Linked DNA regions of Anolis sagrei. The protein of the gene in region 3 purifies or fractionates together with the protein of the main gene of each other region. This does not show direct contact. Links are inferred from orthologs where the notes say so. Each region holds a gene or a part of one and is shown on either strand. Other genes may lie near its edges.

What was found.
Region 1: the proteins of NEK2 (region 3) and ANAPC2 purify together in Homo sapiens (affinity purification with mass spectrometry; 4 studies listed by BioGRID and IntAct, with this or other methods). This does not show direct contact. The link is inferred for Anolis sagrei from reciprocal best matches to the Homo sapiens genes NEK2 and ANAPC2.
Region 2: the proteins of NEK2 (region 3) and ANAPC1 purify together in Homo sapiens (affinity purification with mass spectrometry; 3 studies listed by BioGRID and IntAct, with this or other methods). This does not show direct contact. The link is inferred for Anolis sagrei from reciprocal best matches to the Homo sapiens genes NEK2 and ANAPC1.
Region 4: the proteins of NEK2 (region 3) and ANAPC7 purify together in Homo sapiens (affinity purification with mass spectrometry; 3 studies listed by BioGRID and IntAct, with this or other methods). This does not show direct contact. The link is inferred for Anolis sagrei from reciprocal best matches to the Homo sapiens genes NEK2 and ANAPC7.

The regions. Positions count from the first base shown.
Region 1 is NC_090031.1:15,871,970-15,879,667, reverse strand, and holds the start of ANAPC2 (anaphase-promoting complex subunit 2), read left to right. Parts: upstream 1-4,688; 5' UTR 4,689-4,706; coding exon 4,707-4,772; intron 4,773-6,679; coding exon 6,680-7,323; intron 7,324-7,698. Other genes in the region: microtubule nucleation factor SSNA1, read right to left, coding at 544-654, 1,195-1,394, 4,532-4,583. UniProt on the Homo sapiens protein: Together with the RING-H2 protein ANAPC11, constitutes the catalytic component of the anaphase promoting complex/cyclosome (APC/C), a cell cycle-regulated E3 ubiquitin ligase that controls progression through mitosis and the G1 phase of the cell cycle.
Region 2 is NC_090021.1:24,115,028-24,122,559, forward strand, and holds the start of ANAPC1 (anaphase-promoting complex subunit 1), read right to left. Parts: upstream 3,009-7,532; 5' UTR 2,837-3,008; intron 686-2,836; 5' UTR 662-685; coding exon 449-661; intron 1-448. UniProt on the Homo sapiens protein: Component of the anaphase promoting complex/cyclosome (APC/C), a cell cycle-regulated E3 ubiquitin ligase that controls progression through mitosis and the G1 phase of the cell cycle.
Region 3 is NC_090021.1:32,210,777-32,218,542, reverse strand, and holds the start of NEK2 (serine/threonine-protein kinase Nek2), read left to right. Parts: upstream 1-4,763; 5' UTR 4,764-4,836; coding exon 4,837-4,932; intron 4,933-7,766. UniProt on the Homo sapiens protein: Protein kinase which is involved in the control of centrosome separation and bipolar spindle formation in mitotic cells and chromatin condensation in meiotic cells.
Region 4 is NC_090034.1:42,384,388-42,391,860, forward strand, and holds the start of ANAPC7 (anaphase-promoting complex subunit 7), read left to right. Parts: upstream 1-4,473; 5' UTR 4,474-4,602; coding exon 4,603-4,703; intron 4,704-7,473. UniProt on the Homo sapiens protein: Component of the anaphase promoting complex/cyclosome (APC/C), a cell cycle-regulated E3 ubiquitin ligase that controls progression through mitosis and the G1 phase of the cell cycle.

The DNA.
Region 1 (7,698 bases), on a different chromosome or scaffold from region 3:
TCTCCCAAAACCTCTCTAGTATGTTCAGTTGCTGATCAATTCCTCTGTCTTTTGTGTGCCATAGAAAAGAATAGAAAAGGGTTACAGAAGAGGCAGTTGGCTGGGTCATGCAAATTCCACACCAATGGAGAGAGACACTGGGATGTCTATGGTGGAGAAACTGAGAGGGGAAGGGGATGTCGCCGCTTCTCCCCACAAAGCCATTCCCCGTCCCAGAAAAGGATCCAAGATCTTATCATATAAGCCAATATCACCAAACTTTTTGACAATGGGGTGGCTCTATGGGATCCATTCGTAATAATATTATCCTTTCATTGTTTAAAGCTCTATATATTCTGTGTTTGCCTGCCCAGGAGTCATGTCGGCTCCTTGGCAGGTTACTGCAGTCATCATCCTTTCCAGCTGGGACAGAAAATAAACTTTGGTGGTCCAACAAAGTACGGGAGCCTTCGGAAAACAAAATCCTCTTTATTATACATTACTTTGCCTATGAAACACCTCCCCGAGAAGAGCCCAGAGTCAGAGGGATTGGAGACCAACCCTTCAGTTGTCCTTCGCTGCGGGGGGTTTGGATTCCGTGGCTCCCGTGGCACGGCTGAGGTTCCCTGCCTCCTTCCGCAGGACACTGAGCAACGTCTGGGAACTTTCCAGGATCTGGGAAGCAGGAAAGGATTGCATTTTTATGTCTGTTTTTTTGGGCTACGGCTAGACAAACATCTAAAATGGAGTCTTAGTCTGCAGCCCCTCCCACAACAAAGAGTTAAAGAAAACTGCAAACCAATACACAATGCAATAAGCAATTACATACATAAATTAATAAATTAGACATATTAGATTGATTGATAGATGGATAGAATGATAGATAAGATAGATAGATAGATCAGATAGATTGATCAGATTGATTAGATAAATTAGACAATTTGATTGATAGATGGATTAGATAGATTGATAGATGGATTAGATAGATTGATAGATGGATTAGATAGATTGATAATTAGATAGATAAGATTGATTTATTAGATAGATAAGATATATCAGATAGATAGATAGATAGATAGATGATTGATAGGTTGCTATTTCCAACAGTACAGCCTCATATAACCCAGCTCAAACTAGATAATCTGAATTCAGAAACTGGATTATATAGCAGTGTAGATCCCTAGCAGAAGCCCCCATCCCCCTCATTCCCCGCACCTTCATGTAGGCGGCTTCAGTCTCGGCGATGGTCTTATCGAACTCGTTGCGGGAGGCCATCTTGCGGGCCAGGTTCTCGTTGACGCGGGCCAGGCGCTCGGTCAGGGTGCGGATCTCGCCCTGGAGCCTGCCCTTCTCCTCCTCCTCCTGACGTATCTGCTTGGACAGCTCCTCCCGCTTCAGGCACAGGTCCTCGATGCCTAGAAGGATGGAAGGAAAGGGCAAAAGCATAGGTCAGGGGTCTCCAAACTATGGCCAATGGGCCCATTTAAGGGACTCCAGCCCCTTTGTCTCAATCAGGGGCCACTTGGAGAAGGCCAAGGCCCTGAAATACACCCAAAGGCACCAGATCCCATTGCTCTTGGGAGCTAAGCAGGGTCCACCCTGGTTGGACTTGGATGGGAAACCGACAGTGAATCCTTCCTGCTGCCGTAGGTGATGCTTCAAAAGAAGGTTGTGTCCACACTGCATGGAAGTGCCTTTCCAAGCTGTCCCCCCACCCTTTGGTTCCTCTAATTTTCATATTTTGCGTGTAATTGTTTCTCAATTTTCGGTTTGAGTTGTCCCTATTTACATGTCCGCATCCCCCTTTATGAACCCGTTTGGGCTTTAAGATAAGCTGGAGGGGGGCCTCCTCTCGATCCCATCCCCGTCGCAAGTGAGGTTGGTGGGAACGAGGGAAAAGGCCCTCTCAACAGAGCCCCGCTCCGGCTCTGGAGTGCTCTCCCCAAGGAGATCAGACAAGCAGCCACTCTCACGACTTTTAAGAATTATTTATTATTTATTTATTTCAAAGTTTTATATACCGAGCTTCTCACCTCATAAGAGGGACTCAGCCCGGTTTCCAACCATAAAAACACATACAATCGGTAAAATATCAAAATACACATTACAATAAAACATTTAAAAAGCACATATATTTAAAACTACAGTGGTCAGTCGTCATACTAAAATCGAATATACACCGTCTTCCATCCAGATCATTGTCTCATTCTTCGAAAGCCTGTCTCCATAACCACGACTTCGCCTGTTTCCTGAATGTCAGGATTGTTGGGGCGGTTCTAACCTCTGGCGGGAGAGAGTTCCAGAGTCGCGGGGCCACTACCGAGAAGGCCCTCGTTCCCACCAGCCGTGCTTGTGAGGCCGGTGGGGCCGAGAGCAGGGCCCCTCCAGACGATCTTAGTAATCTTGATGGTTCGTAGGGGGGAATATGTTCGGAGGACTTTGAAAGAAGGACTTTGAAAATGATTAGGTTAATACCTTTTAATTAACTGCTGCTCTGGGCCAGTGGAAGGGGGGGGGGCAGGAAGGCAGTTCCACCTTGTCTCCAGGCTATACTAATAATAGGTATAATATAATATAATAGTATATACATATATTTATAATATTACAATGTAATACAATATAATACTACTACTAATAATACAATATTAAAATTATATGTTTTATATTACATGTAATATTAATAATAATATTGCAATATAATGGTATAGTACAATATAGTAATATATAATACTGATATTGTACTATGCTAATAATATAATATATTGTATGTATATATATCTTGTAAGCCGCTCTGAGTCCCCTTCTGGGTGAGAAGGGCGGCATATAAATGTCGTAAAAAATAAATAAAGTGGACGAGGTCTTTGTTTTAGTGTTATGGATATATGCTGATTAGGATATTTTGGCTTGTATTTAACTTATTGGAACCACTGTGTTTTAATTTATTTTTTTACGGTTTATTGTTTAATTTGTCTATTTTTTTTGTTTTCCCTTTTTCGCTGATTTGTTATTTATTTTGTATATATTACTTATTGTATTTATTTATGCTGTAAGATAACCCGAATTCTTTTGGGGAGATGGGGTGGGATATAAATAAAGATTATTATTGTTGTTATTATATATCTAATCAATCAACCTATCATCTATGTATCTATCAATTCATCTATCTAATAAATCAATCTCATCTATCTAATCATCTCCTCTAGCTAATCCATCTATCAATCCAACTAATCAATCAATCAACCAATCTGTCTAATTTATCTAATCTATCTCTCTAATCTATCTGATCTATCTAATCTATCTATCAATCAATCTAATCTATCTATTATTCTATCTATCCATCTAATTTATCTATCGCTCTATCTTTCTGGTCTATCTGATCTATCTATCCAATCTATCAATCTAATCTACCTACCTACCTATCATTCTATCTATCTACATCAATCAATGACACTAATCTGTCTAATTAATCTGTCTATCTATCTGATCTAGCTATCTAATCTATCAATCTAATCTATCTATCCATCTAATTTATCTAATCTATCTCTCTATCTTTCTGGTCTATCTGATCTATCTATCCAATCTAATCTATCTACCTACCTACCTATCATTCTATCTATCTAATCCATCTATCAATGACACTAATCTGTCTAATTTATCTAATCTGTCTATCTGATCTAGCTATCTAGTTTTATCAATCTAATCTATCTACCTAATCCATCAATCAATCTAATTTGTCTAATGTATCTAAAAAATCTCTCTAACTGATCTATCAATCTAATCTATTGATCATTCTATCTAATCCATCTATCAATCAATCTAATCTGTCTAATTTATCTAATCTGTCTCTTTGATCTATCTATCCAATCTATCAAACTAATCTATCTACCTACCTATCATTCTATCTATTTAATCCATCTATTGATTAAACTAATCTGTCTAATTTATGTAATCTATCTCTCTAATCTATCTATCTCTCTGTCTATCTATCTATCTGATCAATCTATCAATCTACCTATCATTTTATCTATCTAATCCATGGATCGATCGATCAATCAATCAATCAATCAATCAATCAAATCTGTCTAATTTATCTAATCTGTTTCTCTAATCTATCTATCTAATCTACTCTATCACTCTATTTATCTAATCCATCTATCAATCAATTTAATTTATCTATCTAATGAAATCTATCTATCTGCCTTTGCCCTGTGTTGTGCCACCCGCCTCGAATTTCTATTGGAGGCGAAAGGAAGGCGGGGTCATGACGTCACTGGATAAACAAAGTGTTCGCGCTGTTCTAGGCCCCAAACTACATTTCCCAGGAGCCCACGCGGGAGAAGGGACGCCACAGTTGAAGCGTTTTCACCCCTTAATAGTGCGGAGGCACCCCAAACCCCTCTCCTTCCCTTTTCTCCCCACGTGTCCCCGCTTTCTGACTCCGAGCCCCGACCCGAAAAGGCCCCAAAGGTCTCTCTGCGACGCCGGCCACAGTAGGCCGCGTCTCCATAGCAACGCGAGGCCTACACTTCCGGCCGAAGCCTGAGCGACGCACATTTGACCAGCTCGTTGTTGTAGCTCTGCAGGGCGGCCCCTTGCTGGGTCATCCTCCGTCTCCGCGGGCTCGCCTTCCTTCCTTCCTCCCTCCCGCCGCGGAGAGCTCCGCCTCCTCTTCTCCGCTCAACGGCCGCCGCCTCAGAACGGAGCCCGCCTCCTCCGCCTCCGCCGGGATGGCCTTTCCCGCCGCCTGGCGCGCCCTCAGCACGGGCCTGGTCCCGCCCGCCGCCCTGGGCCTGGTACGAGCAGCCACGGGGGGAGCGGGGGTCACGTGTGAACTGGCCTCAGGTGACACGTGAAGGGTCGGGCAGGCATGGGCTCAAGTTTGCCCATGCCTGTTCTATAGTATGGAATATATTATGTTATGTTTTATTGTGTGGTATATAATACATTATATTGTATTTATTATTATATAGAATCATAGAGTTGGAAGACATCTCATGGGTCATGTATAGCAGTGGTTCCCAACCTGTGGTCCGTGGACCACTAGTGGTCCGCAAGACCTAAAATATGGTCCACAGCCTCACCATTACTACACTGTTGCAACGGGAGCAACTGGTCTCGCAAAACCCTCTAATAGTTCCGAGGCTAGTTAAATATGGTTTAAATATGTGAGCGAGCAGATGGCGACTACTGGATGCCGTATGTTCTGTATCAGAAACTAGAGCTGATGTGGTCTATCCAATACAATTTTCTGATTCAGCACCCCAGATAACCAAACTGAATCTAAAATTGACCAAAAACTGATTCGTAACCCTTTTGGTACTAATGTTGGAGAGTGCTACCTGGCCAAAGTAGTCTCTGGTCAAGAAAAGGTTGGGAACCACTGATATATATGGGTGTGTGTATGTATAACAAGACATATATGTGTGTTTGTTTGTCTATATGTATGTATAAAGTAAAGGTAAACGTTTCCCCTTGGCGTTAAGTCTAGTCATGTCCGATTCTGGGGAGTGGTGCTCATCTCAGTTTCTAAACCAAAGAACTGGCGTTGTCTGTAGATGCCTCCCAGATCGTGTGGTCAGCATGACTGCTGAAGCGGTACCTATTGATCTACTCACATTTGCATATTTTCTAACTGCTAGGTTAGCAGAAGCTAGAGCTAACAGCGGAGCTCACCTCGCTATTCGAACCACTTTTCGGTCAGCAAGTTCAGCAGTGCAGCCCATCTGCTGCACCAACATGGGCTGTAGCTGTCCTTTCTTCTTCCCACTCCTTTGTGAACTTTCTGTCTCTGACGGGGCATGTGCTGTTGTTATTGTTGTAGTTGTTAATAATGTTATACGTCCCGCTTTCTTCTCTTAACAAGACTCAGGGCCTTTCCACACAGTCATATAATCCAGAATATCAAGGCAGAATATTTATTTATTTATTTATTTATTTATGGCATTTTAATGCTGTCCTTCTCATCCCGAAGGGGACTCAGAGCGACTTACAAGTTACATACAATATATTATATTATTAGCATAGTATAATATCAGTATTAAATATTACTTTATTGTACTATACCATTATATTGTAATATTATTAGTAATATTACATATAATATAAATATATATTTATATTTATAATATTATATTATTATTAGTGGTAGTATTATATTGCATTACATTATAATATTATAAATATTATATGTATATACAATATATTATATTATATTATACTATTTTATATTATTAGCATAGCACAGGAGACAAGATGGAACTGTCCCATGCCCCCCCCCCTTCACTATGGCCCAGAGCAGCAGTTGTTGCGGGGGGGGGGGGGGGATCCCCAACTGATGACATATGCAGGAGACAAGATGGAACTGTCCCCTGGTCCCATCTCTCTTCACTCTGGTCCAGAGCAGCAGTTAGTGCTGGGGGAGGGGTTCCCAACTGATGACATATCTGATTTGAGCTGAAACATCAGAATCCACACTGACATATATCCCAGTTCAAAACAGATAATGTGGGATTTCATTTGGCTGTATGAATGAAAGGGGCCTCAAAGTGACTCAAAAGGCTATAAACAATACAAATGACCCTTTAAAACCTACAACAACATAGAATGGCTAAAAGAGATAGCAAGGGACGCCTCATGCCTTGCACCTCTGGCTCAGTCTTCAAAGCTTTCTCCATTAAGTCTGCCTCTTGTGGTTTCCCAGGCGCTGGTGCCAGAGTCGGAGCCGGCAGACATCCCATCGGAGCGGGACCTTCACGCAGCGGTAGAGGTGCTGAAGGCCCATGGCCTGCATTCAGCGCTGGAGGAGTGGTTCCTGGAGGTACTGCAGATGGATCTGCAGGCGCGCATCTCCCCCGAGTTTTGGAGCGGCGTGTCCCAGCACGAGAACACGGCCGAAGAGGCTCAGTGCTCCCTCCTGATCCTGGATGCTTTTTCCCTCCTCTGGCGCCGGCTGGAACCCTACCTGCGCAGCCTGACCATGATGGAGGGCTGGACACAGGAGGGCTTGCTCCTCGGGACGGGCGCCCAGCCGCTCAGGGCCAAGGTACACAGCCTGCTTCGGGCCGTCCTCTTCTTCAGCACCCCTCATAGCTTCGGGGAGATGGTTCGGCAGTTCTATGGCCGCAGCTTCAAGATTTACATGTGGCGGAAGAGGAGTCGGGAGCCCAGGATGTCCGAGGGGGAGAGCGGCATGAGTGAGGACCACCAGGCAGAAAGTGAGGAGGAGGAGGAGATCTTGGGAGAGCCTGCCAGAAAAGGAAGCCAGTGCGCCGGGTGCGGGTGTCAGAGGGAGCGCTGCTGGTGCGTAACAGCTGTGGAGCACTTCCAGCAACTCAACAGTATTCTGTAAGTACAATTGTCTGCTTTTGGGAGGGGGGTCTGATGATGGAGTGAAGGGGACTTAGGGATGAAAGGGGGCCTGGGGGTCCTCTTGTGAGATTTGACCTCCATGCTGCTCTTTCCTTCAGCTTTCCTAGTTGGTGGATAATTGTTAAGAAAATGGGGGAGCTGTTTTCTGACATGTCTGAAAGTCGCCAGAAGGGGAAGGTATGCTTGATAAAGGATCCAAGAGCAACAACTAGTCTCCCCAAGCATCAAATGGAAGGAATATTAACCATAATTCCCAGCCTGTATGTCCAGTTCTCTTTGCTTGTAGACTTCTGTGTTCTACACCCGTTCCTTCTTCCTTTCCATTTCTGATTGTCACCAGAAGGTTGTAGT
Region 2 (7,532 bases), about 8.1 Mb from region 3:
TTTCCCACAATCTGTAATGGACTTCTAAGGAAGGCTACGCTGGCTTTTCCTTGGTTTCCCTTTGCAGACAGATTAATTGTTTTTATTTATTTACTGTAAGGTTTTAACCAAGTTTACTTGGGAGCTGCCTTGGGAGCCATGCCAGAAGAAAAGAGACATATAAGTAATAAATATATAATGATGGAAGACAAGGCTTCAAGTGTTGCTCATCTACAGCTTTATTCCAGGTAAAATACATGTTTTTCACATTTCACTGAGTTTTCATTAAGCAAAGGGATCCACATGCGTGGCATATTTATGAGTTAGTATTTAGGTTAACAGATCATTATGTTTCCCTGCCTTTTCCTTTGCAGCTTTGTATTGCTTTCCTCTGTTCTTTGCTTATCTTTTTTTTTTTTTTTTTTGGTGTAAGTTATACATTTGTATTTTCAAAAGTGCCACTTCCTACCTTGTGTTTCTCATGGATTGTAACTTCCTGAAGCGACCCCACCAAACCAGCTGCTCCATCTGACGACCAAATTTCCGAGGCTGGCTGCAGCTGCCGAAGTTGCAGGTTCAACGCATTAGGATGGTGCTTGCAGTGGTCACGGCCAAAAGGGACAAACTCCTGCAAATCCCCTGCTGCAATCATCATTACCCTCTCTTCATAGATGTTCGACATGAGTTCCAAATATCAACATTATTTCTGAAAAAAGACCAAAATGCAGACAGAAGGTGTTCAACAGTGAAACCATTTTCAGAATGGCAGCATGACCTAAATACCCTATGACACCAGATCCTATCTGAACTTGGAAGGTAAGTAATGTCAGTTCTGATTATTATTTGGAAAACCACTGGCTGTATGTAGGCTATATTTCAGAGGAAAGAAGTACAAATCTACCACCAAGTTTCCCAAGCAATGAAATTCATAAGGTCACCATAACTTGACAGTTGACATATAAATGCAGTCATATTAAGTTATTGTACCACCTAAGAGACAAATAAATTTTACAAATTGTATGCATTTGCTGACTATGCCCACTTTCTTCTACTGCATCTAAAGAAGCAGGCTGCAATCTATGAAAACTTACATCAGATAAAAGTTGCTAATGTTTAAGTTGCCACAATACTTTTGCTCAACATATACACTATGTAATACAAATTTTGTTCCTAGGTTATAATTGTCATTTCCTAATTGGTTCTATCATTAAAAGATGGAAAACAGTTATCAAACTGCAAAAACTTTGTTTTTGCGGGATATCCTGCAACACATTTTGCTCTAGTTTTTCAATGAATATTTTATATCAACCAATTCAACATAGTTTGTGGCAATCACAGAAACAAAGTTTCTGAAGTAGAATAACTACTTTCAAAGTAAGTATTGCACAATTAAACAGGAAATAACACTTTCAAACCAGGAAGATTTTTTTTTCAAATTTTGTTACATAGTATTATCTTCAATTCTGGAGCCCCTGGTGACGCAGTGGGTTAAAACCTTGTGTCGGCAGGACTGAAGACCGACAGGTCGCAGGTTCGAATCCGGGGAGAGGCGGATGAGCTCCCTCTATCAGCTCCACCTCCTCATGCGGGGACATGAGAGAAGCCTCCCACAAGGATGATAAAAACATTAAAATCATCTGGGCGTCCCCTGGGCAACGTCCTTGCAGACGGCCAATTCTCTCACACCAGAAACGACTTGCAGTTTCTTAAGTCGCTCCTGACACAACCAAAAAAATCTTCAATTCTACTACTCCCTTTTCTTTCAGTGCTCTAAAATTAAGGCACCCAGACCACTCAATAGGTGTAAAATGGATTCAGCTAAGATCTGCTACAACCAAACCAAAGGAGTTACACAACAAACAGCCAAGCATAGTGCTTAAGGTGAATGAAGTAATGTTAGAGTTATTTACTGTTAAATAATAAACAACGGCTTACAAAGATGGTAAATGGAATAGAAATGTTTCCTCTTCCCCTTTCTGGCGAACTACCTTGCCACGACTCTGACACAGCTCCGCTGTGCTGTCTTGCACACGTGTTCCCCTCATTAATTCAGACCAGTGTTGTGCAACCAGCGTAGGATCCCAGCTACCATACTTTTGCCAGGGCTTGTTCTCCAGACCCTTGATCATTTTAGACACATTCCAGTGTCAACATCTCCCTCCAATTGTGATGCCCGGAATTGGACACAGTATTCCAGGTGTGGTATAACCAAGGCAAAACAGAGAGGTAGCATGACTTCGCTGGATCTAGGCACTAGATTCCTATTTATGCAGGTCAAAATCCCATTGACTTTTTTTGCTGCTGCATGGCATTGTTGGCTCATGTTGAACTTGCTGTCCACGAGGACTCCAAGATCTTTCTCACACGTACAGTGTTCTCTCGCTACTTCGCGCTTTTAGCAGACTCGCTGTTTCGCGGTTTTCAAAAATTATTAATTTAAAATATATATTGCTGTATTTTTGGTGTTTTGCTTTCGCTCCTCAGTCCTCCCTCCAGCCTTGAAGGGCCTTTTCTTCCTTTCCTTCACTTTAAGTTTATAAAGACTTAGAATAGTGTATAACTACTAAAATAATGTATAAATATTAAATTAAATAGATAGAGCATCCCTACATCGCAGTTTTTCAATTATTGCGGGAGGTCCTGGAACCTAACCCCAGCAATAAGCCAGGCATCCCCCATTCTGGGATGCTGGGATTTGTAGTAGCCAAAGAGTGTGGGTGCCCCACCAAGCTACAAATCCCAGGGTTCAAGTTGTCTCAAGCTGCATTAACTCTTCGACTGAATGAAGGGGAGAGAAGGCGGGAAGCATGGCTGCTGCTGAAAGGGCCCAGGACGAGGGCAACGGAGGCTCGCCCACCTGAGTGACACAGGAAAGGGCGGCGGGCGGCGGGCCTGGGCTCCAGCGGCTCCTCCCCCGTCTCTCCCCGGACAGCAACAACAAGCGAAGTCCTCTCGGCGGCACTACACTCTCCCCTCAGCTTCTCACACGGGCGCCGCCATCTTGCAACTCCCATCACCACCCGCGACAAGGCCGGAGGCGGGGCTAACGGATGTCAGTAAAACGGCGCCTTTGAGGCTTCCCAAGTCAGGCAGGAAGGATGGAGGGAAGCAGAAGAGGGAGACCTCCGTTCTACTGTTCCCATGGCAACAGGCGGCTGGCCTAGGCCCAGCTGCTGTTACTATAGCAACCAGGATACCCTTGTATTCCTTGGCCTTGCTTCTCATTGGGATGCTTGATTTATTTATCCTTGGTGAAAACCTTTTATGGCCCCATCTACACTGCCATATAATCCACTTTTCTGAATCCAGATTGTCTGCTTTGACAATCTGGATCTGCTGTGTTGAGGTTTCAGGCAAGGAAGGGGCAAATACTGGCTAGGCCAGGCCTGGGCAAACTTGGGCCCTCCAGTTGTTTTTATTTATTTATTTATTTTGGTTACTTCTACCCCGCCCTTCTCAACCCAGAGGCGGCTTACAAAGGCACGATTCGATGCCGGCATCAACATAACAGTAGAATAAAAACAATATAGCAGCAATTAAACAATTCACAATCAGTTTCTGCACTGCAACAATAAAACCAATAAAATCGATTTCACCTAATTAACACTCAGCCTTCGCCATCTCATAGTCCAAATACCAATTCCACTTTGTCAGTCCTGCCAGTCCTAGTCGTCTAATTGTCTTTATCTAGTTGTCAGATTGCCCGAAGGCCTGGTCCCACAACCATGTTTTTAATTTCCTCCTGAAGGAGAGGAGGGAGTGAGTTCCATAGGTGGGGGGGCACCACTGAGAAGGCCCTGCTCCTCGTCCCCCACCACCGTCACTTGTGATAGCGGTGGGGTCGAGAGCAGGGCCTCCCCAGATGATCTCAAACTCCGAGGTGGGACGTAGAGGGAGATGCGTTAGGACAGATAACGCTGGACCGGAACCGTGTAGGGTTTTGTAGATCAAAACCACCACCTTGAATTGGACACCAACTCCCACCATTCCTAACAGCCTCATACAGGCATGTAGCCGGGGGGGGGGGGCTTGGGGGGCTTCAGCCCCCCCCCCCCCCAATTTTCATGGTGGTCTGCAAAAAGGCCTTACTGGTACATTATTTAAACTGTTATGTTTATTCATATCATGATCTGATCACCATGCTCAATATATCTCATATGCATGGGGGTATTGGGGTAACAATACAAAAGGTTTGCTAGAGTAGACCCTCTTTCACTCAGACTCAGACTCCTTTCTTGTAGTTTGAAGCCATTTCCCCCCTCAAGCAGCTGAGTGGGAAAAGGAAAGGGCCTGAGGTTGTTAGGAATGGTGGGAGTTGGAAACAAAACATCTGAAAGGCCAAAGTTTGCCCAGACCTGGCCTAACCTAATATTTGGTAGATTCCGAGCACAATATTTGCTAGCTTCCGAGCACAATTCAAAGTGTTGGCTTTGGCCTATAAAGCCCTGAACATATCTCCCACTAAGATCCACCTACGACCCTAAGATCATCCGGGGAGACCCTTCTCATTGTCCCCCCATCATCACAATTGCGTTTGGTGGGGACAAGGGACAGGGCCTTTTCTGTGGTGGCCCCTTGGCTGTGGAACTCCCTTCCAAGCAAAATTAGATCAGCTCCATCCCTCCTGACCTTTCAGAAACAAGTGACATCCTGGCTATAGGATCAGGCCTTTGCAGATTAGGTTGACCGGCTGGCAAAGTGATGGCTTTAATGGACTTAATGGACTGCTTTTAGGGCAATGACTTAAATCGGCGACTGACTGTTTGAATGTTTTTATACTGTTTTTATATTGGTTTTATTTAAATTGTATATTTTTGCTTTTGGTTTTGGTTGTGGACACCATGGTGTGTTGGTTGTTAGCCGCCCTGAGTCCCTCTGCGGAGGTCGAGATACAACGGGATAGAAATGTCCTAAATAAATACAACAAAGATCCGCCTAATTGGCAACAAAGATCCGCCTAGTCAAAGCCATGGTATTCCCTGTAGTCACCTACGGATGTGAGAGCTGGACCTTAGGGAAGACTGAGCGAAGGAAGATCGATGCTTTTGAGCTGTGGTGTTGGAGGAAAGTGCTGAGAGTGCCTTGGACTGCGAGAAGATCCAACCAGTCCATCCTCCAGGAAATAAAGCCCGACTGCTCACTGGAGGGAAAGATACTAGAGACAAAGTTGAAGTACTTTGGCCACATCATGAGGAGACAGGAAAGCCTAGAGAAGACAATTATGCTGGGGAAAGTGGAAGGCAAAAGGAAGAGGGGCCGACCAAGGGCAAGATGGATGGATGGCATCCTTGAAGTGACTGGACTGACCTTGAGGGAGCTGGGGGTGGTAACGGCCGACAGGGAGCTCTGGCGTAGGCTGGTCCATGCGGTCACGAAGAGTCGGAGACGACTGAACGAATGAACAACAACAACAAATAAATAAATCCATTTGAATCTAACACAACTAACTGGACATGCTGCATAAAGTCTACCATATCACCCGGAACTATGGTTTTATAAAAACTATGCAGACCCTCCTAGAAAACTGCAGCTTCTATATGGAGTTTCAGGGCAGGAAAAGTAGGTGGAAGAGGCAAAAAGAAAAAAAAGGTTTACCTCGAGGCAGCCTTCTTGCACCAGCCTTGTTTAACATCTTTACTAAGGATCAGCCACAACCACCACTCACAAAGAGCTTTATAAACGCTGATGACCTTGGCCTAACAACATAAGCAAAAGTCAACAAGCAATTTACTAATCCCCTGAAAGATCTCTCCAGCTACTACAAAGATAACAGAGCTCCCCATGGCGCAATGGGTTAAACTCTTGTGACGGCAGGACTGAAAACCAACAGGTCGAAGGTTCAAATCTAGGGAAAGCATTTATTTATTTATTTATTTCTGGTACTTTTACCCCGCCCTTCTCAACCCCCGGAGGGGGACTCAGGGCGGCTTACAAAGAAGGCAGAATTCGATGCCTTTATACACTACACATAGTATACAAAAATATACAAAAATAAATATACAGAAATATAATTAAAACGATCATCACAGTTAAAACATCAGCAACCGGTGCCCAACATATTATATAAAATATCATATAAAAACATTCTTATAATCAGCGTTTCGTTTCCAGAGTTCCTCGTGTCCAGTCCATTAGTCATTTCCTAGCCATCCATAAAGTTCTCTCTCTATCTGCCCGCCTGACCAAATGCCTGGTCCCAGATCCATGTTTTTAGTTTTTTCCTAAAAGAAAGGAGCGATGTTGCAGATCTAATTTCCCCGGGGAGTGAGTTCCACAGGTGGGGGGCCACCACCGAAAAGGCCCTGCTTCTCGTCCCCGCCAATCTCACCTGTGATAGAGGCGGGGTCGAGAGCAGGACCTCTCCAGAAGATCTTAGACTCCGGGGTGGGACATAGAGGGAGATCCGTTCGGACAGATACACTGGGCCAGAAGCATGGATGAGCTCCCTCTGTCAGCTCCAGCTCCCCATACAGGGACATGAGAGAAGCCTCCGACAAGGATGGTAAAACATCAAAACATCCAGGCGTCCCCTGGGCAACATCCTTGCAGATGGCCAATTCTCTCACACCAGAAGCAACTTGCAGTTTCTCAAGTCGCTCTTGACATGAAAAAAAAACAAAAACAAAAACAAAGATAACCACCTGAAGCCTAACTCTGCCAAGATACAAGTGTGTGCTTTCCACCTAGATAACCATGAAGCCAATAGAAAATTGAAAATTACCTGGGAAGGCCAAGGGCTTGAACACTGTTCTCACCCTAAATATCTCAACATGCACTATGGTATGACTGCCTAATTAGTCACACATGCGACAACTTGTGGCCAACGACTGTATTACAGTGAAAAGAATCCTTATTTTCAGTAGTGCATGCTGAATTAAATGATGTGCCAATAATACATGACTCCTGAAAAGCTTTCTAAAACGTTTAAAGAGGTTTCCGACACTTGCTGGAAATGTAAACAACAAGTGGGGTCTTTCTACCATATGTGGTGGACATGTAAATTGCCAAGAAATACTGGATTCAGTCCATAAGTTGATCCAGAAATTTTTTGGGAAAAATATCCAGGTAAAACCAGATACTTCTTTACTTGGATTGAATGATACAAATTACTATAGTAGATTGTTTCAATATATGATCACAGCAGCCAGATTACTATATGGGCAGAAATGGAAGAACTCAGCACCAACAATAGAAGACTAGATGATAAAAATTATGGACTTGGTGAGGTAGATAAATTAAGCTGCTTATTAAAAAACAAGGAACATTGGAAAAAATGTTGCATGACTGGGAACCTTTTATTGAATTTTGGCATGAAGATGGAAAGGATTGTAAGATTTGAAAACCAAATTGAAAAGGATTTTTGCCCAAGAAAAAATAATACTAAGAAACTTGGAGAGTTATGGGTTGTTGTGTGTTTTCTGGGCTGTATGGCCATGTTTCAGAAGCATTCTCTCCTGACATTTTGCCTGCATCTGTGGCAGGCATCCTCAGAGGTTGTGAGGTTTATCGTCTGGTCTTCTGATCTCTGCTGCTGAATTCTTCCATTTCTGTGC
Region 3 (7,766 bases):
CTGGGAGAGTAGAAGAGTCAGGAAGGGACTCTGAGAAAGTAGTTGAGTCAGGAGGAAGAGACCCTGAGAAGAGGAGCAGAGTCAGTTAGGGGCTCTGTGGAGTGAAGCAGTATAGACTCAGTTAGTTTTTAGTGTTTGTGAATATTTCTTCAGCAAAGGAGCTGAAGGTGAAACATCGTTAGATTGCTTGAGTTAAAAAGAATCTAACAGAGGGGGTTTTAGGATCGCCAGTAGTGGAAGACTGGAGATCAGTGGTTTGATCCGGTATAGGACAAACAGTGAGAATATTCACAACAGGGAACACTGAAATAATAAAGCGCTTCACTGTAGAAGGAGTTTATAAGATTGTAACATCAAAAGCCTGATTTGTATCTCAACCAAGCCATATTGTAACCATCAAGCATATGCCAAGCTCAACATCTTAATATCGCAACAATACGCTTTGTTTAACAATAAACTTGTTCTCTTTGTTATTTCAAAACTGCCTCATCTCCATTGATTTTACGTTCGGTGCATTCCACTCTACCAAAGTTACCTCACAACCTAAACAGAGACTTTAATACCAGCGTCTCTATACGTGGCAGTTTAATTTAGCAGTCTCGGAACTTGCTTACAGTTATTAGTGGCATTAATACTTCTTCGCATATTTTTGGTGGCATTCAGTGGGATTAACACTTCCTTACAAAACCCTCAGAATTCAATTGGATATCCTTCTTAATAAACATAATCAGACACCATAATGCTGTCATAAGCCTTCACAGGTTTGTCCTCCCTCTATGGCAGATGTAATATCTGTTACAGCAATATACATGGGAACAAAAAAGGTAATGGTAACAAAAGAGGTTTTAATAAGTTGCTGGTTTTTCTGTTCATAGCCAAATGTATACACAATATGAACAAGATAAACATTCAGAATAATAATGAGCTATTATACTGCTTTTCCAGCAATGTTATGCTAATAGCACTTAAGATGTTAAATAAGCTGAGTATAGAATGACTGACTATTGTCTGCTGTTATGAATGAGTCCCTATATTCTTTTATACAAGTGAGTTTTCTATCAAAATGCGGTAGACCATCTTTCAGTCTTTTATTTTGTCCATTTCAGTCAAATGTTTTATTTTGGTAGCCATATGTATGCATGTGTATGTATGCACGCACACACACACACAAAGCCAACAGAGTATGACATAATTCACCTGACAAAGCTTTAAAAAGCTGGTCACAATCTTAAAGGTGCCACAAAATTGTCCTTTCCTCCCTGCTTTTTGAAAGTGATGACAAAGTGCCATCTAGTGGAATATTTGCATTACTGCCTATCAGACTAGCTAAAGCTTTATTTGAATAACTTTAATACAGTACCTAATTAGACATTTACATCTCAATTCACAAATAACTTTATCTACAGTTAGTTGAATTTAAATCTTTTCATATGCCATTCAAGATGTTGGAGGTGCTGCTGTGAACACAAACTGCACTTTTCCCTCATGTGACTTGATACATTTGTTGCCTCATTCCATGACAAGTAACTGGTCTTGTCAAATAGTTGGATATTTTGCATACCCCCAAAAGGCATTATTGCCACTTCCAAAAATCCTTCCCAGCACAACCAATGGTGAAGTAGGGTGAGAAACTGTAGCTCAATATCCGAGGGAGGCACAGAACCTTCTCCATGTTAAATGTTATGTATGTTGGTTTTTGTTAAAAAGGAACTTTAATGCCAACTAAGGACTCTTCTACACAGTTACTGTAATACAGCACCAGTTTGGCATTGCAGTTTTGAGGTGCATCTCAAAACTGCATTTTAAGGTGAATCTCGAGAGTTTTGGGGTTGCAATGGGATTATAAATGTCCTTTTTTCCCCTTCCAATTGAGAACTGGGTGAAGAATGGTCCCGGATTCAGTGGAGCTGTTTATATACTCCATCCAGGAGTTGCAGCAGCTACTAAGTTTAGCCTGTCCAGTTGAACTGATCCTGATTCGACGCCGCTAGACAGCCATCCTTACCTGTACTGTTGTCCCTAGAATCGCAGAGTTGGAAGAGACTTTAAGGTTCATCCAATACAACCCCATGGCTTGCAGAAACATTCAGTCATACCCCCCCCCCCAAAAAAAAAAAAAAAGATGGCCATCCAGCCTTGGCTTAAAAACCTCCAGAGAATGAGACTCCACTACACTCTGGAGCAGCAGCATATTCCACTGTCAAACAGCTCTTACTCTCTGAATGTTCTTCCTAATGTTTACATGGAATCTTTTTTCAGTAGTTTGAATCCATTGTTCCGTGTCCTAGTCTCCAGAGCAGCAGAAAACAAATGTTGTTTTCAGATATTTAACCACGGTTATCATGTCCCCTCTCAACCTTCTCATCTCCAAGGTAAACATGTACAGCTCCCTAAGCTGCTCAATCAAAAGACAGCCTGGCAAAATGGCACTATCTAAAAGAAAACAAAATGGTACTATCTAAAAGAAAATGTCCACCTTATGTGGCTGTGGAGTAGAACAGACAACTCTGCATTTGTATGCTTGTCCACTATGCCCTGCTTCATGTACAGAGGAAGAATTGTTGGAGGCTACAGACAATGCGGTTGCTGTTGCTTGTTTTTGGACATAAGATATTTAGCCCTTCTATTTTATCAGCTTTATACTAATTTGTGCAATGCTTTTGATACAAAATAAATAAAAGCTGCTCCTCGTGGGGCTTGGCTTCCAAATCTTTGTTTTGGTCATCCTCCTCTGAACACTTCCCAGCTTGTCCATATCCTTCTTGAATTGTACTGCCCAGAACTGGACACGGGGTTATTCTGGGTGAGGTTTGACCAAAGCAGAATAGAGTGGGACTAGGACTTCCCTCAACCTAGACACTATGCTATTGATGCAGCCTAGGATTGTTAGGTTTGGGTTTTTTTTGGATGCCACTTCACACTGTTCAGCTGGCAGTCTGCAGCAACCAGCTGGCAGTCTGCAGCATCGATGCCACACAAACAAAGAGGAGACAGAACTGCTTCCTTTTCCCGGGTTGCATTAGTGCTTGTGATGGTGTCAGCTAAGGTGCCTGGTGATGTCCAGAGCTCTCCAGAGCTCCACGGTCAACTAATGAGGTGACAGGACAACACAGCCTCAATCCCTCTGTATTTCCATGTGCCATGCAGTACAGGTAATAGGGGACAGCAGTGCATGGCCATGTAGACAGTGGACTGGTTCGAATTAAGAGCCCATCCAGCTGTTCCAATGTGCTTTTGATTAGGCAGTCCACCAGTAATTTCCCCTGTCCCTACCTTAAATTCAGCACTTTACGCCGACCCTTTTAGCGCCCTACCTCAACACTTTTGATGACACCATTCCCAGCCCTATCTACTTGATTGCTGCACTTTCCTTGCGCTCCCTTCAAGTTTGTACTCCACTCATGGAGCCTGAACCGCAGCTATATTCTATGAAGAGAGAGGGGGCCAGGGGACAGTTCAGTCTTGTCTCCTGCATATGTCATCAGCTGGGGACCCCTCCCCCCAGCATCAACTGCTGCTCTGGGCCAGAGTGAAGAGAGAGGGGGCCAGGGACAGTGCCACCTTGTCTCCTGTGCTATTCTAATAATATAATATGTTGTATATACATATAATATTTATAATGTAATGTAATATAATATTACTAATAATATATTATAATTATATATTTATATTACATGTAATATTACTAATAATATTACAATATACTGGTATTGTACAATATAGTAATGTTTAATACTCATATTGTACGATGCTAATAATATCTTGTAAGCCGCTCTGGGTCCCCTTCAGGGTGGGAAGGATGGCATATAAATGTCGTAAATAATAAATAAATATGTTCTAGCTATGTTCTTTCTCAGCCATATTATTTTGATGTTGTTTACAATTGTGATTGCTTTTATATTTTATCTGATACTTTTAATTGTGTTTTGTTTGTAATTGTTGGGCTTGTCCCTTGTAAGCCGCCCCGAGTCCCCACGAGGAGATGGTTGGCGGGGTATAAAAATAAAGTTATTATTATTAGATTATTATTCTCACTATCCCAGACTGCGTCTATGCTGATGGTGGCCCACACTGCAAGGCTGCTTTGGCTTAAACTCGAGCACTTCCCAACTTCTCCTAACACAAAGGGGTTGATTTTATTCCTTGTTACCAACAGGATGTCCAGGAGAAAATGGCAGAATCATAGTATTGGAGGAGACCACAAGGGGCCATCCGTTCCCTCAGAAAAAAAGCCATATTATTATCTTGAGCAGGCCTGGGCCAACTTGGGGCCTTCCAGGTGTTTTGGACTTCAACTCCCACCATTCCTAACAGCCTCAGACCCCTTCCTTTTCCTTAAGCGACTGAGGGGAAAAAGGAAGGGGTCTGAGGCTGTTAGGAATGGTGGGAGTTGAAGTCCAAAACACCTGGAAGGCCCAAGCCTGCCCTAGAGTCCAAAACACTTGGAGGGCCCCAACTCTGGCCATACCTGGTATAGTTGAACCCATAAACACGGAAGCGGAAGTGACCTTCGCCGAGCCTCTCTGTCTTGTTCTTTGAATGGCAACCCGTGGTCGCGACGACGGCGGCTCCAAAAGCTCAAAAGGCTTTTTTTTCTCGCGCCGCTCTCGAGCGCCACTGGCTGCGGTTGCTTAGTAACCGGGCCGAAACAGCCGTTACGCGGCGCGTGGCGGTGTTGGACGCCTCGCGGACCAATGGGAAGGCAGGCGGTTAGGCATGGGCGGGGCCGCGGCGGCCAGCCGGCCAATCAACGGCAGGCGCGGCGTGTTTTAAACATCCTCCGAGGGGGAATTGAAGCTGCGTGTTTATTGAGTGGTTGGCTTCTCTCGAAGGAAGATGCCGAGCCGCCCCGAGGACTACGACGTGCTCCTCACCATCGGCGCCGGGTCCTACGGCAGGTGCCAGAAGGTTCGGAGGAAAGCGGACGGCAAGGTGAGCGGAGGGGCAACCACCCCTGGAGGTTTCTGAGCCTGTACAGAGTGCCTCCGGCCTTCATTTAGCTTCGGGCCTGGAGCACGTGAGGCTTTGGCCTGGTTAGCCTCGTGGCCGTGGTTTGAACGTTAGGCGGCGGGTCTGGAGGCCTGGGAAAGCTTTGGGTCACACTCTCTCAGCCTCAGAGGAACAAGGCAAAGGTCAACCCTCTTTGAGCAAACATAGCCAGGAAAACACAGTCGCCATGAAAACGTGCATTGAGAATTAAAGCAGGAAAGCCCATGTTTCCCATCCTTGGTAGCAAAAAAACCAATAATAATAATAATAATAAGGCAAAAGTTTGAGCAAATCTAGCCAGGAAAACACAGTCGCCATGAAAACATGCATTGAGAATTATAGCAGGAAAGCCCATGTTTCCCATCCTTGGTAGTAAAAAAAACCCATAATAATAATAATAATATAAAACTTTATTTGTACCTCGCTACCAAGGCAAAGGTTTGAGCAAATCTAGCCAGGAAAACACAGTCGCCATGAAATAATGCATTGAGAATTATAGCAGGAAAGCCCATGTTTTCCCATCCTTGGTAGTAAAAAAACCCATAATAATAATAATAATTATTATTATTATTTGTACCCAGCTGTATCTCCCCAAGGGACTTACATGAGGCCAAGCCCACAGCACATCAATAAACAAAAGCAATAACAAATAATCAATACAAAAACAGTTAAAATAAAGACTCAAAAACAAAATACACAACAAGCCATAAACAATAACATACAGCATTTAAAAACCTATGGCCGGGTCAAATGTAATAATTAAAATTAAAAATATAATATAATAAAACTTTATTTGTACCCTGCTACCATCTCCCCAAGGGACTTACATGAGGCCAAGCCCACAGCACATCAATAAACAAAAGCAATAACAAATAATCAATACAAAAACAGTTAAAATAAAGACTCAAAAACAAAATACACAACAAGCCATAAACAATAACATACAGCATTTAAAAACAGCCTCCACCACACTCCGGGGCAGAGAGTTCCACTGCTGAACGGCTCTCACAGTCAGGAAGTTCTTCCTCATGTTCAGATGGAATCTCCTCTCTTGTAGTTTGAAGCCATTGTTCTGCGTCCTAGTCTCCAAGGAAGCAGAAAACAAGCTTGCTCCCTCCTCCCTATGGCTTCCTCTCACATATTTATACATGACTATCATATCTCCTCTCAGCCTTCTCTTCTTCAGGCTAAACATGCCCAGCTCCTTAAGCCGCTCCTCATAGGGCTTGTTCTCCAGACCCTTGATCATTTTAGTCACCCTCCTCTGGACACATCCCAGCTTGTCAAATTCCAGCTTGATTGTGTAGTATTCCTAAAGTAACTTATTTGTGTTTGGTGAGAGGCAGTAAGGTAATGTTTTGAGTGTTGGACTCTATTGGTCTTACAGTATTACTGCTACTACTACTGAGTAATAATAATAATAAAACTTTATTTATACCCTGCTATCATCTCCCCAAGGGACCCGGTGCGGCTTACATGAGGCCAAGCCCATAGTACATCAATAACAAAAACAATCAATACAACACAATTAATTTAAATCACATAAACAATAAACAGTAACACACTAGCATTTAAAAACCTATTTTTAAGACTGGCACAAGTGTGCTGATGCATATAGGCTTTTAATTATTTTAGTTAATTTAACTTTAGTTTTAATACTACTCTGTATTTAATTGTAATATTTATATGTTTTCAGTTTTAAATTGTTCGTTTCTTTTTTTAAAAAAACAACAACACCATAGTTGCTTTTGAGTTCCTTTTAAGAGAGAAAAAGTGGGATAACAATCATAATGAATGCTGGGTTGCTGTGAGTTTTCTGAGCTGTATGGCCACATTCCAGAACCATTATCTCCTCATAGAATCATAGAGTTGGAAAAGACCTCATAGGCCATCCAGCCTGACCCCCCTACCAAGAAGCAGGAAAATTGCATTCAAAGCACTCCCAGCAGATGGCCATCCAGCCTCTGTTTAAAAGCCTCCAAAGAAGGAGCCTCCACCACACTCCAGGGCAGAGAGTTCCACTGCTGAACGGCTCTCACAGTCAGGAAGTTCTTCCTAATGTTCAGATGGAATCTCCTTTCCTGTAGTTTTAAGCCATTATCCTGATGTGAACGTTGTTGTTATTGCAATTTACTCTATTTGTTTCTACCCCACTTTTCTCATGATCGAGACCCAAAGTGGTCCCCAACTTAGAAACAAATACAATTTCAAACCTACAAAAATGGGAAAATGGAATTAAACATGCAAGTCAGTTAAATATCACATTTATAATTATGTTTATGTTTATTTATACCCTGCTTTTATCTCTCCTGAAGGAGACTCAAAGCGGCTTACAATTAAAAGTATGACCACAAAATTTCAACGATACAAACATTAAAACAGAATTGAGCATAACAGTATTAAAAATTCAGTCAAAATCAATTAAAACATATTCAAAGCTAAAAATCACATTGTGACCCAGAGAAGTATTGGGAGGAATGAGCTTGGCTCCAACACTGGGCAATATCTACCTTCTCCAACCACCCTGCCGAAAACACAGATAGATTTCCATCAAACTCTGTAGGGTCTCAACCAAACCTACAAACCTGAATAGGGCAGGAGCTCAGAAGCATATAACATAATTTAATCACCATACATGATTCTCTGACTTGTTCTTAAAACACGTTTTGCTTTAGCCTGACCCTAGAAGCCAGGGCTGCATCTACACTGCAGACACAGTCTATCCCCACATTAACTATTATATCTCAAACCTTTTGAACCCTTGGAGTTGTAGTTAG
Region 4 (7,473 bases), on a different chromosome or scaffold from region 3:
TGGTCGGGCATCCAGACAACGTGGCCGGTCCAGTGGAGTTGATGGTGGAGGACCATCGCTTCAATGCAGGTGGTCTTTGCTTCTTCCAGCATGCTGACATTTGTCCACTTATCTTCACAAGAGATTTGCAGGATTTTTCAGTGGCAACGCTGATGGAATCATTCTAGGAGGTGCATGTGATGTCTGTAGACAGTCCATGTCTCACAGGCGTATAGCAGGGTTGGGAGGACAATAGCTTTATAAACAAAGTGCTCTTCCAGCAGTCACCGGCCAATCCCTCTCCAATGCCAGAAATACAGCTTAATGGTGTAACATTAGAGTTGACCATTTCTGCTACTTGGCAGCCACCTCTCCACAAAAGTCAACACTGACACCGAAATACAACACCGCCTGAGCTCTGTGAGTGCAGCATTTTTCCAAATGAAGCAGAGAGTGTTTGAGAACCGGGACATCCGTAGGGATACCAAGGTGCTAAAGGTCTTAAGCCTTCCCTATCAAGCTACCTCTGCCATGGTCTCATAGCATTGAGGCCCTTCCCACACAGCTGAGTAATACCTCACATTATCTGAGTGTGGGCTCAGATAACCCAGTTCAGAACAGATATTGTTGGATTTTCTGCCAGATATTCTGGGTTACATGGCTGTGTGGAAGGGAACAGTTAAAACTCGTGCGCCAACTGCGCCCGTACCTTGGGAAGTCTGACTTGGCCACGGTAGTCCATGCTCTGGTTACATCCCGTTTAGACTACTGCAACGCTCTCTATGTGGGGTTGCCTTTGAAGACGGCCCGGAAGCTCCAGTTAGTCCAACGCTCGGCAGCCATGATACTAACTGGAGCGGAGCGCAGGGAGCATACAACTCCTCTGCTGCACCAGCTCCACTGGCTGCCGATTTGCTACCGGGCTCAATTCAAAGTGCTGCCGTTGGCCTTTAAAGCCCTAAACGGTTCTGGCCCAACTTACCTATCCGAACGTATCTCGGCCTATCAGCCCACCAGGACCCTAAGATCTTCTGGGGGGGGGGCTGCTCTCTATCCCGCCTGCTTCACAGGTGCGGCTGGCGGGGACGAGGGACAGGGCCTTTTCTGTGGTGGCCCCGCGGCTATGGAACGCCCTCCCCATGGAGGTAAGATCAGCCCCCTCATTGATGGTTTTCCGGAAAAGACTAAAAACCTGGATGTTCGAGCAGACGTTCGGTTAACTCAGTGCAATAAGTGTAATTGATTGAAGGACTGGCAATTTGGACGACGAAACTGGATCGCGATTTTAGTCAAGAGATGAATTGGATTGTTTATTGATATATGTACTGTGGATTGTGTTTTTATGTTTTTAAACTGTATACTGTTGTTTGTTATAAGTTGTTGTAAACCGCGTTGAGTCGCCGGCTAGGCTGAGAAACGGCGGTATACAAATATAGCAAATAAATAAATAAATAAACTGAGTCAGGGCAGTTAAAGTGGTGTTAAAATGCATTCATTCTACAGTGTAGATGCTATGACTCTGGAGAAGAGGGTTCAAATCCCCACACAATAGGTGACTCACACTCTCTCAGCCTCTACGGATTATTTATTTATTTACTCTACTTATATACCGCTGTTCTCAGCCCGAAGGCGACTCACAGCGGTTCACAACAAACAAGAACAGCAGAAATTCAATGCTCCAATATAAAAACAATTAACAACCTAACACATTACACACTTAGAAAACAATTACTACAATAACCATTCACTAGCGTCTCATCACTAAAGGACAGGATCCAGAATCGTCATCCATTGTTCCATTCCTATGTCATTACAGTTCATTGCACTAATTCTTCGAACGCCTACTCAAACAACCAGGTCTTCACTTTTTTGCGGAAAACTATTAGAGATGGTGCTAGTCTAATGTCTGTGGGAAGGGTGTTCCACAGCCGAGGAGCCACCACCGAGAAGGCCCTATCTCTCGTCCCCGCCAGCCGTGCTTGTGAAGCAGGCGGGATCGAGAGCAGGGCCTCCCCGGAAGATCTCAAAGTCCTGGTGGGTTCATAGGCCGAGATGCGGTCGGATAGGTAACTTGGGCCGGAACCGTTTAAGGCTTTATAGGCCAACGCCAGCACCTTGAATTGAGCCCGGTAGCAGATCGGTAGCCAGTGGAGCTGGTACAACAGGGGGGTTGTGTGCTCCCTGTGTTCCGCTCCTGTTAAAATCATGGCTGCCACACGTTGGACTAGTTGAAGCTTCCGAGCCGTCTTCAAGGGCAACCCCATGTAGAGAGTGTTGCAGTAGTCTAGACGGGATGTAACCAGAGCGTGGGCTACCGTGGCCAAGTCAGACTTCCCAAGGTACAGGCGCAGCTGGCACACAAGTTTTAACTGTGCAAATGTTCCCCTGGTCACCGCCGAAGCTTGGGGTTCCAGGCTCAGCGATGAGTCCAGGATCACACCCAAGCTGCGAACCTGTGTCTTCAGGGGGAGTGCGACCCCATCCAACACAGGCCATAACCCTATGCCCTGTTCAGCCTTGCGACTGACCAGGAGTACCTCTATCTTGTCTGGATTCAATTTCAATTTGTTCGCCCTCATCCAGACCGTTACAGCGGCCAGACACCGGTTCAGGACCTCGACAGCCTCCTTAGTAGCAGGTGGGAAGGAGTTACAAAGTTGGACATCATCTGCGTACAGATGACACCGTACCCCGAAACTACGGATGATCTCTCCCAGCGGCTTCATGTAGATGTTAAACAGCATGGGAGACAGTATTGAACCCTGTGGAACCCCACAAGACAACGGTTGTGGGGTTGACCAGGTGTCTCCCAATAACACCTTCTGGGATCGGCCCTCTAGGAATGACCGGAGTCACTGTAACACAGTACCTCCAAGTTCCATCCCCGCGAGGCGTTCCAGAAGGATACCGTGGTTGACGGTATCGAAGGCCGCTGAGAGGTCCAGCAGCACCAACAGGGACACACTCCCCCTGTCGAGCTCCCGGCGTAGATCATCCACTAAAGCGACCAAAACTGTCTCAGTTCCATGTCCCGGTCTGAAACCAGACTGTGCCGAATCCAGATAATCTGTGTCTACCAAGAATACCTGGAGTTGTGAGGCCACCACGCATTCCAGGACTTTGCCCAAAAAGGGGAGATTGGACACTGGCTGAAAGTTGTCAAATTTAGGGGGGGTCCAGTGATGGTTTTTTCAACAGCGGTTTTATTATAGCTTGTTTTAAGCTCGCTGGAATATTGCCTTCCCGAAGGGAGGCATTAACCACCACCTCAACCCACTCAGCCAATCCCCCTCTGGCCTCCTTTAGAAGCCAGGATGGGCAGGGGTCCAGGATGGACGTGGTAGGCCTCATTCTTCCAAGTATCTTGTCCACATCCTCGGGTTTCACCAATTGAAAAGAATTACTGTTATGCCTTCTGGCCCTAAGGATATAGGCCAGTGTTTCTCAACCTGGGGGTTGGGACCCCGGAGGGGTCGCAAGGGGGTGTCAGAGGAGTCGCCAAAGACCATAGGAAAACACAGTATTTTCTCTTGGTCATGGGGGTTCTGTGTGGGAAGTTTGGCTCAATTTTATCATTGGTGGGATTCAAGGGGCTTTTTGATTGTAGGTGAACTATAAATCCCAGAAACTATAACTCCCAAAGATCAAGGTATAATTTCCGCAAACTCCACCAGTGTTCACATTTGGGCATATTGAGTATTAGTGCCAAGTTTGGTCCAGATCCATCATTATTTGAATCCACAGTACTCTCTGGATGTAGGTGAACTACAACTCCCAAAACTCAAGATCAATATCCACCAAACCTTCCAATATTTTCTGTTGGTCATGGGAGTTCTGTGTGTCAAGTCTGGTTCAATTCCATCATTGGTGGAGTTCAGAATGCTCTTTGACTGTAGATGAACTATAAATCCCAGCAACTACATCTCCCAAATGACAAAATCAACCCCCCCCCCCCCCAACCCCACTGGTATTCAAATTTGGGCGTATTGGGTATTTGTGCCTAATTTAGCCTAGTGTATAAAATACATCCTGCATATCAGATATTTACATTATGATTCATAACAGTAGGCAAATTCCAGTTATGAAGTAGCAACGGGAAAAAAGTGTTTGGGGTTCACCACAACATGAGGAACTGTATGAAGGGGTCACGGCATTAGGAAGGTTGAGAAACACTGAGAGAGGCTTTTCTCCGAAAAAGGACACAAGCAGCCTTCCGTGCCTCGCCGCGCATGCTCAACACCTCCCTCGCTCGTCTCTCGCTTCCATAGTCACGACTCGGGAAAGGTGTCTACAGCAGTGCCTGGTTTTGTTTTATTTTAAAAATCACCCCTTTGCAAAGGACTTTTTAATTTTTTTAAAAAAGGAGGAAAGTTATAGTTAGCTGAAGTAGGAGAGTAACCCCGCAATGCGTAGAATGGAAGTTCCCCCTGAGGCTGACAGGCGAACGCCGGGGGCAGCCTTTCCTCGGTGAGGGTTGTTGTGGAAGTGTCAGGGCGGCTTTTTCGGCGAGGACCCTTCGGGGAGGCGCCATTTTAGACTTGCTGAGAGGACTCTGTCCGTTACGGCCGACTTGAAGTACGCTGTTTTTTCGTTCCCGTCCCTCTGTCGAGTCTTTCCGAGGCCATGAGCGTGGTGGACCATGTTCGGGAGATGGCAGCGGCGGGGCTGCACTCCAACGTGAGGCTCCTGAGCGGCCTCCTCCTTACGATGAGCGGCAACAACCCGTGAGTGAGGCGCTGGAGGCCGACACGGGAGGCTTGGTGGCCTCCGACCCGCTTTCAACCCAAAGGAGAGTTGGTGGAGAAGCCTTGCAGGCACACTGAGGACCCTTCCACACAGCTGAATCAAATCCCACATTTGAACTGGAATATATGGCTGTGTAGACTCAGATAACCCAGTTCAAAGCAGATATTGTGGGATTTTCTGCCTTGAGATTCTGAGTTACATGGCTGTGTGGAAGGGCCCTGAGTTATATGGCTGTGTGGAAGGGCCTTCCAGGCAGGCCCATTATCCCAGGATCTAATCCCAGGTTTTCTGTTTATAATAATAATAAATAATAATAAACTTTATTTGTACCCTGCCACCAACCTGTGTTGGACGGGGTTACACTCCCCCTGAAGCCACAGGTCCGCAGTTTGGGAGTCCTCTTGGATTCATCGCTAATGCTTGAGGCTCAGGTGTCGGCGGTGTCCGGGAGGGCTTTCGCACAATTGAGACTCGTGCGCCAACTGCGACCGTACCTTGCGAAGGCTGATCTGGCCGGGGTGGTCCATGCCTTGGTCACCTCCAGATTGGACTACTGCAATGCGCTCTATGTGGGGCTGCCCTTGAAAACAGCTCGGAAGTTCCAACTGGTCCAACGGGCAGCAGCCAAGATGTTAACTGGCGCTCCTTACAGAGAGAGGTCAACCCTCCTGTTCAAGGAGCTCCACTGGCTGCCGTTTATTTTCTGAGCCCAATTTAAGGTGCAGGTGCTTACCTACAAAGCCCTGAACGGTTTGGGACCATCCTACCTGCGTGACCACATCTCCGTCTACGAACCCACGCGTTCACTGTGGTCATCTGGAGAGGCCCTGCTCGTGATTCCGCCTGCGTCGCAAGCACGTTTGGTGGGGACATGAGACAGGGCCTTTTCTGTGGTGGCCCCCCGACTCTGGAACACCCTCCCCAAAGATCTTAGACAGGCCCCTACATTGGCAGTCTTCAGAAAGAACTTGAAGACCTGGCTGTTCTGATGTGCCTTCCCAGATTAGGAAATCTCCAATACCAAGTCCCATAAGCACTTTATTAGAACCAAGATTGTTGCACATCGCACTCTGCACTTGCCCTATAAGCCTTATATACCACCTGTCACATCAGCACTTTCAATCTTGTACCCATTACTCTGGCCCGGCCCAGTTCTATTGTGTCTTAATATATTGTTGATTGCTTATTGTTTATATTGCCTTAATTGTTTTTAATTTGCCTTAGGTTTTGTATTGTTATATTGTGTGTTGAGGCCTTGGCCTTTGTAAGCCGCATCGAGTCCTTCGGGAGATGCTAGCGGGGTACAAATAAAGTTTAATAATAATAATAATAATAATAATCTCCCCAATGGGGACTCGAAGCGGCTTACATGAGGCCAAACCCGAACAACAAATTACAATAAAATAAAACGCAAATGGTAAAAGCAACATTGTAATAAAATAAAACATGTAAATACGTAACAATAATAATATAAAGTTACAATAGACGCAATCACAATGACAGTGGGCGGGCTGCATGTAATGATTAAAAGAGACTAATTAAAACTAATTTAAAACTCTGGTGAGATAAAAAGAGACAGATTATTTGTGGAGGAGAACTCATTATAGCAGAGTTGTGGAATCAAGCTTTCCCACAGAGGGGGGACGACATATACTCCAATGACATTTATCATTTATTCCAGATTATCTGGCAGTGCGGACTCATATAATCCAGTTCAAAGCAGAAAACCTGGGATCAGATCCTGGGATAAAGGGCCTGTCTGAGGGTCCTTCCACATAGCCCTATATCCCAGAATAACAAGGCAGAAATCCCATAATATCTGCTTTGAACTGGGTTATCTGAGTCCACACTCAGATAATGTGGGATTTCCTGCCTTGATATTTTGGGATATAGGTCTGTGTGGAAGGGCCCCAGAATATCAAGGCAGAAAATCCCACAATATCTTCTTTGAACTCTAATATCTGAGTCCACACTGCTATATATTCCAGTTCAAAGCAGATAACTTGGGATTTTATTCACATCTGTGGAAGGGGCCTCATAGAATCCAGTGCAAAGCGGATGTGAATCATCAGCTTCAATAATCTGGATTATATGGAAGTGTAGAAGGTGCCTCAAAGTGGTTTGCATTAAACACATTTCAACAATAATAATAAATAAATAAATAAACAAACATTATTTTTAGACCGCCCTATCTCCCCCGGGGAACTCGGGGCAGTTTACACATACAAAGGGAAACATTCAATGCCCGACATATACCAAAATATTACAGCAATAAAACATAATACAGAATAACAACAACATTATACTAATCAAATAAAATTAAATATCAAGATATCAACATAGAACAACTAATCACTAAACAAATACATTTAAAAGCATGATCAACAGTAAAACATCTAACGTAGTCAGCGCCGTTAAAAATTGGGTAAGCATTGGCTGTTAGTTGTTCTTAACTGTACCATAATGGCCATGAAGTACAGATTGGACAGCCTGCAATAGAATTTCAAAGCAGCAAATATACAGACATTACAACAGAATTCAATGTCATGGGTATTTTTAAATGCAGTGAAAATCCATAAAATATGATAGCGGCAAATAGAAGCAGTGTGATATCTTACCAATAACTGCTTTGGTTTTCTTTAAAAAATATGGGTATTTTAGGCCTCTTCTACACTTCCATATAATCCAGATAATCAAAGCAGGAAATCCACATGATCTGCTTTGAACTGGATTCTGTGAGTGTACACT